Linked DNA regions of Daphnia pulex. The protein of the gene in region 1 purifies or fractionates together with the protein of each later gene. This does not show direct contact. Links are inferred from orthologs where the notes say so. Each region holds a gene or a part of one and is shown in the gene's direction. Other genes may lie near its edges.

Region 1 (2,588 bases):
CATCAACTAAAAGAATAACCCCCTGGCAAGCTGCCAATGACCGTGATACTTCAAAGGAGAAATCGACGTGCCCCGGTGTATCGATTAAATTCAGCAAATAGTCATTTCCTTGATAATTATATACTAATGTGGCAGTTTGAGCTTTCACTGTAATGCCTCTCTCCCTTTCTACTTGCAAACGATCAAGCATTTGGGCTTCATGACCTCCTTTGCTAATTGTTCCTGAAAATGAAGAGACAATTACAGAACTGTATTCAGTCAAATAATGATGAATATTGTAAACCTGTTAATTCTAATAGCCTATCTGCAAGAGTACTCTTCCCATGATCAATATGAGCTATGATTGAAAAATTTCTGATCCTCTCGACAGGGAATAAGGTTAGGTCAATTTCAGATTTAGATTTACTGGAATAGTGTTGAAAACTTTGTTGGAGACTCATGTGCTCTGGCAAAAGAAATATTTGTCTCTTCCTAGACAAATAAGAAATAAAGGCAAATCAGTGTGATGCTCCTTCTCAGAAAGAATAGTATTATTTCTTGAGTAAAAAAAATTACTTACCAAAACACATGTTTATAGGATTTGCATCTGCACATTTTAAAAGCATGGCGAATGGAACGTGATTTCCACATCATCAGATTTACTTATTAATCAACTTCTATGTGTAATAATTCCGGCAATGGTTTCTATTTTCTTTTGAAAATAAATAGCAGACAGCAGTTTGCCGAATTTTCCTACAAGCGAAGGCCAGCCCAATACCAATAGCATGGTCGGCCAGCAGCAAAATGTTTTGGAGAATCGACGCATCGAAGATCGAGCGCCAATTGCCATGTCAGAAAAAGTAGCTCGCACCGGGCGGCCTGTATTATTCATCGTGCTCTTCACAACACAATGTTTACGTCAACTGTCTAGGTGGCTAGGTGCTCGTCGCTCTAAATTGCTGCATTTTGGGTTTAATTTTAGGGGAATTTAATCCGTTAGCTAATAGCTACTAAAAATGACCCGAACTCGATTGGAAACAAACTTTATCCGACTTTTAGAACAGTGTAAAACGATTGCCAACAATGGAAAGCACACTGAATGGAGATTTGAGAAGGTAGACTTACTTCTTCAATGGTAATAAGTTTTTCCACCGACAATAACTGAAGCTGGATCGCTTTAATTTGTCTTGCCTCCTGTTTAATAGTATATCATTACACTTGAAGAACAGCTGACAGAATTGAAGAAATGTCCAATGCCACCAAATAAGGATGTTCTAGATGATTACACAAAATCTGTTGCTTTTTTGAAAGGTCTTACCATCACTGAAAAGCTGGTAATTACATCATCATTACATATTTTCTCATAACTTAACTTATAAAAATTTTCCAGCCTTCTGTTACAGATAAAGTTGTTGCTTCTCAGTTTTTGTCCCCTTGTTCTTCTCCATACGGAGACACAGTTTCAAAGGAAATCCGACATAAAGTTGCATCTCAGTATAGCAATCAAGTTAGGGATGAGTTGCTGACCAATAAATTACTTCCAGCAAATGAGTCTGTCTCAACAGAAAAAAATGAAGAATTTGAAAATCCTGCTTCAACATTAAGGCAAAGAAAAACTGAATTACTGAGCACCATAAAAACAAACACCACTCCTACTCATGTGCAGGATTTTGATGGAGTGATTAGTAATGAGCAGCAAACCCAAGAAGAAATCACAAATAATTTGCTTACCATGGCTAAAACCATGAAAGAGCAAACCATGTCTGCAAACTCAATTATCAGACAGGACTTAATTACACTGGAAAAGGCCAACATTCTGGCTGAAGAAAATCAGACAAACCTTCAGACTCAAACACAAAAGCTTCAAGAGAGAAGTGGATTCTGTACCCGTTGCTGGGTTTGGTTGTTTTTATTGCTTGTCTGCATGTCTTTCATAGGTAATCTATTGCTTCATTGTAATGTTGAGGTTCATTTGATGTTAATTTTTTCTATTATCTAGCCATGATTGTCTTCATGCGGTTGTTCAAGAAAAAGAAGACATCCTAAGTATAAAAGAACATCACACATACTAAAAATTAAACAAGGTTAAAACTTAAAAGTTCTTAAATAGGATTCATCAACCACTGGTGCCCTTACTTTGAGAATACAACTACAATTAATGTATTTTGGATTTTTTGTTTTTAAATCATAATATTTTGCTATTCACATCACAATTAGCACAGTTAGTTGTCCCAATTTGTCTCAGTTAATCTAAATCTAAACCTAATTGAAATGAAGTTATATCGACTTTATTGAAGGCTTCGAGTCCCATAAACAAAAAGAAGTTAAAAATAAAACGAGGCAACAAGGGAGGCTTAGTACATTTTTTTAAAATTGTACATATCGACGTAGTCTAGAAATCCCGATATATATACGCCATAAGTAGCCCCGTTGGAAAGAAAACGAAAAGTTGTTGTTTGAAAACAAGTATTATCTAACCCCGTCCAGCTTGGGCTTGTCCCAATTCTTCGTCGTCAACAGCTACTTGACCATCACTGGTAACGCTCTGTTAGAAACCAAAATTATAACCAAATTAAAAGTTTTATTATTTTAGTAAGGATATTATACTT
Region 2 (3,759 bases), on another chromosome or scaffold:
TAAAGTGAATTTCATTTTTTTAAAGAATGTAGTTTGTTGACGGAGACTCAAAGCTATAATTGTCCTTCTTGGGCAAATGATAGTCGAAGACTGTTTATCTTACAAACGCAACAAGCTTACCTTATATAGGAACAATTTTCAAGGGATTGATTCTTGGTCTTTAAAGCGCAACGTGTTAGATAATTGCCATTTGTGAAACGGAAAAGTTTACGGAAATAATACGTACGTGCAATAATGTAGGAAATCCTGCATAGTCATAGAGGGAAGGAGTATAATGGCATAACAAATGCTACCATTTACTTTCCATTTCAGTTTTGTCTCTCTGGACTCTCTATGTCAAGTTCCTCGGTTTAAGTAGAAAACGAAAATATAGGCCACACCGAAACAGACACGAAGATAATGAAATGGTCCCGTCTCCCGTCGGCTTATTATTCTTTGCGGTAAATAGGGTATTTGTTAAATACTTAAATTCTTTTAAAAAGAGGACACAAATACAGCTTAAATTATATTATTCATAGTTACATAAGACGCCGATTTTCGTATTCAGTGTTTCTTCAATTAGGAATTTCGTAGAATTTTTTTTATCGCATCTTAATTGAATCAAGCCATTCAGATGTCATGGATGTTAATAACATGAATAAAAATATTATTTTTCTTTTAGCTATCATTTTAAAAAGAACTTTTCTCTTTGCCTGTGATGAAATAAAAGTAAACAGGAAACAAACACTAAAGGGTGGGACACTATTTAACTCTATAGACTTTTAGGCGGCATACATTTTCCGCTCTGATTCCTTCGACAGTGAAAAAGAGGTTTATGTATCGAGGTAACAACTGAAATACTTCGAAATTGATAAAATTTAGAAGGTAAGCCAATGCGGAAATTTCTCCAATAAAGGGCAAGCGTTGACGATCACTAAAGTAAAAAGTGAAACTGATTAACTGACCTTGTTGCCTGACATTTGTTGCTTGGGAGTTAGGACTTGGCTTCCAGCTCCAGGGAGGATTCTGTTACAGAGAAAGGTGTTACAAAAACATGAAAAAGAAGGAGAACGGTTATAATATTAAAACTTTATCAAATAATACAACATCTAAATAATTTAAGCAACATTTTCGTAAAAAGAGAAAGTACCAATCAAAGTTTATGTTGCCGCCGAAAAAAGTAAAAACAGGCAGACAACCTCTTGGAAGCCATCTAGCGGAGAAGAAAAAAACAGCTGCTGACGTATCTGTTTTGACGGATCCGGATAAGTACACGATCTGACCGACATCCAAAATCCAAATATATAATATAACATAAAACAATATAACACGAGAATATTGAACAAGAAAAACCATGGGCTCTTCAATACGAGAGAGACAGATAAGTACGTCTGTTAATTGTTTTCTTTAAAGACTCAGTTTTTCATGCTATACTTTCTGTTCTTACAGATCTGTTGAAGCAAATGATAAATTTCAACCAACCTATAACTAAATCAACTATCATGGAACCATCATGGAAAATTTTGGTGTACGACAAGTATGGACAGGATATCATATCCCCCATTCTATCAGTCAAGGAATTGCAAGAACTAGGTGTGACTCTCCACGTCCAACTACACTCACCTAGAGACCCTGTTCCAGATGTGCCTGCTATTTACTTTTGCCTGCCCACTGAAGAGAACCTAGGACGAATAAGCCAAGATTTACAAAACCAGCTATATGAATCATATTACTTCAATTTTATCTCATCCATATCCCGGCAAAGATTGGAGGACTTGGCATCTGCTGCAATCAATGCTCAGAGTGTGGCCCAGATCTTAAAAGTTTGTGATCAATACCTGAATTTCATTTCTCTGGAAGATGATTTGTTTATCCTCAGAAATCAGAACAGTGACATGATATCCTACTACTGTGAGTACTACTCTTGCCCCCATTGCCACATTGTTTCCTTAAAACAAATCAAATTATAAATTTATCTTATTAATTTCAGCTATGAACAGGGGTGAAATAACAGATACAGAGATGAACAACATTTTAGATGGAATTGTGGATAGTTTATTCTCTTTATTTGCCACATTGGGTAAAAGTTGTTCTATTTTTCATTTATATGTGCATCATGTGCAAATTATTCAATGATGCAGGCACTGTTCCGGTGATTCGAAGTCCTAAAGGAAATGCAGCTGAAATGGTAGCTGAAAAACTAGACAAGAAATTAAGGGAGAGTTTGCGAGATACGAGAAGTGGTCTTTTTACTTCTGATCTAACCCAAAGTTTTGGGTATGTCTGTTTCATAGCCAAATAACCCGCCGCGCGAATTGCAGTTACAATATATTTTTTAAAATTTTTAGATTTCAGAGGCCTTTGTTGGTTCTCCTCGACCGTAACTTGGACATGGCTACACCTCTCCACCACACTTGGACTTACCAAGCCCTTGTACACGATGTTTTGGATTACACTTTAAATCGTGTGGTCGTCCAGGAACCAGAAAGTGATGCCAATCACCATCCGGATAGCCATCGGCACACCCCTTCTCACAAAGCCAAAATAAAGACTTGTGATTTGAACCCATCCGACAAATTTTGGATATCTTATAGAGGCAGTCCTTTCCCAACAGTAGCAGAATCCATCCAAGAAGAACTGGAAGATTACAAAGCATCGGAGAGTGAAGTGAAACGATTAAAAGAATCAATGGTACTGTTTCGATGAATAGAAATTTGTGGCCATTAATTTACCTTATTACGTTTTGTTTTTCAAAGGGATTAGATCCAGACGGAGAAGCCGCTATGAGTTTGATTTCCAACACAACAGCCAAGCTGACTTCAGCAGTTAGCTCTCTACCCCAGCTTCTGGAGAGGAAGCGGCTTTTAGACATGCATACAACCATAGCAACAGGTAAAATTATGTATTTTTTTAAAGGCTTCCTATGAACCACCCATAAATTGACACAAGACTAAACTTACTAACTTTCAATCTTTTAGCCATCTTGGAGCAAATCAAGCAGCGAAAATTGGACGTTTTACTAGAGGTGGAGGAGAAGGTTATGAGCAAAAACGCCTTAGATCGATCTGTCTTAGACATCATTAGTGATTCGGAGTGCGGAACTCCAGACGACAAACTCAGACTCTTTCTGGTCTATTTTATTTGTTCACCTAACATGACTGAGGTAGGGAATAAGCCTCTTTTACAATGATATTTACTTGTTATATTTATCGATTTTGTTTAGTCCGAAACTGATCAGTACGCCGCTGCACTAAAAGCTGCTGGCTGCAATTTAGCAGCTTTGCGCTATTTGAAGCGTTGGAAGTGAGTAATTTCAATCGTGGATTGTTTGACATGTTTCTAAAATTCACTATTTTCAATTAAGGTCGTGCAGCAAGATTGCGACTGGCTCTAGCCAGTACTCGGGAGGTGGAACTAGAACAGTGAACATGTTTACGAAACTTATGTCCCAAGGCTCGAATTTTGTCATGGAAGGCGTGAAGAACTTGGTTGTAAAGAAACATGTAAGCATTTTCTGGTTGAATTACTTTCAAATCAGAATTCATTTGATGAAAATATTTTTCAACAGAATTTACCAGTTACACGGATTGTTGATCACTTGATGGAACTGAAACCCTCTCCAGAAACCGACGATTACCGTTATTTTGATCCAAAGCTTTTGAAACCTAGTGAGGGCGGTAGTACTGCTCCTCTTAAGAGTCGTGCCCAATTCCAAGATGCTATTGTATTCATGGTGGGTGGAGGGACATATGCCGAGTATCAAAATCTGGTCGACTATGC
Region 3 (3,759 bases), on another chromosome or scaffold:
TGAGAATACTTCCTCTTGAAGGCAATGATTTCCGTTCCCTAAGACAACTGCATTTAAACAAGATTAGCAAAGGAAAGATCTGTAGAAGACCTGTCAAAACTACACATCCAATCGATGCAGACGTCGAGATGAAAGAATCTCATTCGGGTAATTTGTCATTATTCTGGAAGCCAATTTTTTGAGACATAATTCTTGTTGTTTGATTGCAGATTTAAAAGAAGACATAGAAGATGAAGATAGACCATGGAAGAAAAGAAAAGATGAATACTATTCTGAGCATTTCTATCCTGAGAAGGATCCTGTCATAACCAAATTCACTGTTTCGGTAAAATTTTGTTTCTCTTTCTAGATCCAGTTCACGCCTAATTTTTTATTTTCTATTGCTTAGTCTTCGTCCAAGTTCTCCGGTACCCGGACGACTTCGAAACTTAAGTGCGACCTTAAAGTAACCTTACGATCAGACAACCTCCTCGAGTTTTTTAACTATTCATTGGACAAGGGAATTCTCACGTACCCTTTAAACCCGTTTTTTGAAAACATCGTTAATTTAGGGCGCACCTCAATTTCAACAAAGGATATAGAAGAAAACTAGACTGTAATTGTTGCTACATTTTTCATTTTCAAACTGTATGATACGGTTATTACGGTAAATTTAAATGATTTTTAAATACACTAAATTTGAATTCATTCTATTATCGAAAAGTGTTTTGGTAGAGTGATTGTTTCGGACTTTCAGTCTCGTCTCGCTCGATCATAAGTTATGACAAAGTAAGAGAGTAAAAAGCATAATTATTCATAATTTTCATCAGCTACTGGATTTTCATGGATTTCCGCTTATTCTCTGCTTATGACTATGAATTATGAGTTAATGAGTTGTGTTCAATTTATCTTGCAACCTCGCGATTTATTCTGACACATAAACAAGCAGACAGTTTTCAATAGCAAATTGTAGTGTGGCTGTGGCAGCCAGTGAGCAGCAAACAAGTTGTGTAAACAAACTTAATAAATTACACATATTTATTGAGATGACGGAGGAAAACCCGGATTTGCAAAGAAAAATTGTAAAAGCACTCAATGAAGAAATTGGATCAGATTTAAAACAACTTCACAAACTCAAAGAACTGTATGATGAAACCAAAACCATACAAAATGATCTGAAAGAGAAAGTAAAATAATCTTGCTTCACCTGTTTTTCCAACATCTATTTATCTAATATTTATCTATTTTCAGCTTTCATTAGTTAGCACAGAAGCTCCAACAAAAGTTCAAAACACCTTGAGGGAGGTTGAAGAGCTCTCAAAAAAACTAGTGACTCTTGAAAAACAATACTTGGACTTGAAAGTTGAAGCCCAATCACACTTAACATCTGTCGACACATTTCTAGGAAATTTCAGCAGTCAACTACAAGAAATAGAAAGACTTGAACTGGAATATTCCTACCTGAAATGCATCAAAACTGTGGAAGATCTAAGGTATTCAATTTAATAAACATATAAACCCCATCATAAAGTATTAATCATGTTTCATCACTTATGATATTAGTGAGAAAATCCGACAGAGTTTACAGTCTAACCTAGATTTGGAAGCTGTTGAGTTGTACAACAAACTCGTACAACACAACTGCATGCTGGAAACATCTCAGTGTGAAAATCTAAAAAAGTTTGTTAATGATACTGTAATTTTCTGGTTTGAGATGATCAAGGAAAAACTAAAAAAGTATAGCCCATTTCAATTAAAGATTTATTATACACGTTAAAAAATGTTCTTTTGAAAAACAGGGAAATGCAAGATACTCTTAAACTGATACAGTGGCCTTTGATTTCAACGAACCAGGAGGTTTTAAAAACTGTCCCTCCACCTGATGTGATGAGCAAGTTTCAGTTACAATTTCAGTGCCTTGGCAAACTGGAAATCCCATCCAAACAGTCAGTTCTACACTGGCCCAAGTACAAGTTTGCGGATACATTTTGAATTCTTTATTTCTTTCAGGTTGGAAGATCCAAGTGTGGCAGATCATGTGATTTTGTCTAGATTTACTCCTTCCAGCCTAGCCATCCAAGAATTAATATATCCTCTATTGAAAAGATTTTTATATCATTTTGGTGGTAATCGACCAACCAACCGTCGTGACAAACCCGAGTGGTATATGCGCCAGATTCTTCAGTGGATTGGAGATCACGCTAAATTCCTCGAAACAAACGTTCAACCCTTGTATGCACCTAATGATGCTTTAACGGATTTTTCACGAGGACTCGTTCAACTTGCTGTCGAGAAACTAGTAAAGGACACACCGGTTATCCTTGAGGATGAAACCATTTTGGCACACACTATCGGTGAAGTACTCAGCTTTGAGAGTGAACTTCGATCCTCTTACAACTACCCATCCTCACAGCCGTCAGCTTTACTTGTTCTCTCTCAGCCCCAGTTTTTTACTCGATGGATTGCCTTAGAAAGAGCTTGTAAGTTGACTAATGAGAATTTCCTCGCATTCTACTTAAACTTCAATCATTCTGTTTCATTCATAGTCGCCGTAGAAAAAATGGACATCCTTTTGATTAGCGATAAAGCCTGGACTTGCGTCTCTGGAGACAATTCCGAGGCAGAAGACGAAGTTCGATTAACTGAGTGTGGCGAAGGATTTCTCCAAATGCTGCTGGCCATTACGGATCGTTACAAGATCTTACCCCAACCCGGTCATAAGTTGCAGTTTTTGGATTTACAGCTTGAACTGCTGGACGAGTTCCGTATTCGGTTGCTACAGTTAGCCCGTCAAGACAAATTTCACGAATTATTCGCCAATCGATCATCGCCCAATATCAGCCCTATCCTGAACACGCTGACGGCTGTTATTAATGTTCTAGATGACTGGACTGATTTGCCGGTAATAATTTATCCAAATTATGAATTATCGTATAATAATCGTTTATGTTTCTCTTTTGTGATGCAAGTTCTTCGTTCAACTGCATAGTTATAAAGTCCAGACGGAAAATATTGAACGTTTAGCTGCAGAAGCTATTAGCAATGATGAGGCCTCGCTTCCTTGGCTTCGTACTCAAGCTCATACTAATCGAGACGAAGAAGGTAAACAAATAGTCTTTTCAATATTATTTTTCCGAACAAAACATTATTCCGAATTTGATCATCAACAGGATCGGTATTTGACAGCATCATTGAGCTTTTAAAGAGAATGCAGGAAGATTTGCTGCGCCGTCTGGTAGAGGCGGTGATGCTCGAAGTGAAAGCCAAATCGCAACCCTACAGACTTGACAAGTAAGTAATTGAAATAATTTTTTGAATTGCCTTATTATAAAAAATGGAATTGTCCGGTAGGTGGGCATCACTCCCCAATCCGGATGAATTCATTCAACCCAGCCTATCGCCAACAGGTCAGTATTTAGATTCGTAGTTTTTATTTGATAATCCGTTTTATTATTTGACGTCTTTGTTCTATAATAAATAGGATCTGCAATGCTCCAGGCAGTAGCGATTGGCTTGTTGTGGCTTAAGGATTCCCTGGCATCTACTATGTTTGTCGAAGCGTGGCAGAAATTGGCCTCTCAAGTGAACGACGTATGAAATGACTGTGCCTGTTTTTATTCAATCAGAAATTTTAACGAATCAAACATTAATTCTAGTTCCTCTTGGAAGAGCTGATCCTACAGCGGCAGTTTAATGAAGGAGGCGCTTCTCAACTTTGCTTCGACATCCAGCAGAATCTGATACCGCTTTTTGGGCAATACACCACAAAACCGGAGATTT

The links.
Region 2: the proteins of vesicle transport protein USE1-like (region 1) and sec1 family domain-containing protein 1-like purify together in Homo sapiens (affinity purification with mass spectrometry; 3 studies listed by BioGRID and IntAct, counting the BioPlex papers as one, with this or other methods). This does not show direct contact. The link is inferred for Daphnia pulex from reciprocal best matches to the Homo sapiens genes USE1 and SCFD1.
Region 3: the proteins of vesicle transport protein USE1-like (region 1) and RAD50-interacting protein 1-like purify together in Homo sapiens (co-immunoprecipitation; 3 studies listed by BioGRID and IntAct, counting the BioPlex papers as one, with this or other methods). This does not show direct contact. The link is inferred for Daphnia pulex from reciprocal best matches to the Homo sapiens genes USE1 and RINT1.

Annotation. Positions count from the first base shown.
Region 1 is NC_060018.1:697,821-700,408, reverse strand, and holds vesicle transport protein USE1-like, read left to right. Parts: upstream 1-903; 5' UTR 904-995; coding exon 996-1,094; exon of another isoform or gene 1,095-1,111; coding exon of another isoform or gene 1,112-1,114; intron 1,115-1,184; coding exon 1,185-1,313; intron 1,314-1,369; coding exon 1,370-1,978; coding exon of another isoform or gene 1,979-2,025; 3' UTR 2,026-2,028; downstream 2,029-2,588. Other genes in the region: translation factor Guf1, mitochondrial-like, read right to left, coding at 1-222, 284-471, 560-633; ATP-dependent Clp protease ATP-binding subunit clpX-like, mitochondrial, read right to left, coding at 2,453-2,524, 2,587-2,588.
Region 2 is NC_060019.1:10,712,904-10,716,662, forward strand, and holds the start of sec1 family domain-containing protein 1-like, read left to right. Parts: upstream 1-1,173; 5' UTR 1,174-1,333; coding exon 1,334-1,364; intron 1,365-1,428; coding exon 1,429-1,890; intron 1,891-1,969; coding exon 1,970-2,059; intron 2,060-2,120; coding exon 2,121-2,256; intron 2,257-2,327; coding exon 2,328-2,670; intron 2,671-2,735; coding exon 2,736-2,871; intron 2,872-2,957; coding exon 2,958-3,142; intron 3,143-3,202; coding exon 3,203-3,282; intron 3,283-3,343; coding exon 3,344-3,482; intron 3,483-3,547; coding exon 3,548-3,759. Other genes in the region: tol-Pal system protein TolA-like, read right to left, coding at 1-15. UniProt on the Homo sapiens protein: Plays a role in SNARE-pin assembly and Golgi-to-ER retrograde transport via its interaction with COG4. Involved in vesicular transport between the endoplasmic reticulum and the Golgi.
Region 3 is NC_060023.1:2,168,641-2,172,399, reverse strand, and holds the start of RAD50-interacting protein 1-like, read left to right. Parts: upstream 1-931; 5' UTR 932-1,025; coding exon 1,026-1,166; intron 1,167-1,230; coding exon 1,231-1,472; intron 1,473-1,542; coding exon 1,543-1,716; intron 1,717-1,778; coding exon 1,779-1,925; intron 1,926-1,989; coding exon 1,990-2,459; intron 2,460-2,525; coding exon 2,526-2,881; intron 2,882-2,948; coding exon 2,949-3,081; intron 3,082-3,149; coding exon 3,150-3,270; intron 3,271-3,330; coding exon 3,331-3,386; intron 3,387-3,460; coding exon 3,461-3,570; intron 3,571-3,635; coding exon 3,636-3,759. Other genes in the region: uncharacterized protein LOC124197333, read left to right, coding at 1-147, 210-325, 389-592. UniProt on the Homo sapiens protein: Involved in regulation of membrane traffic between the Golgi and the endoplasmic reticulum (ER); the function is proposed to depend on its association in the NRZ complex which is believed to play a role in SNARE assembly at the ER.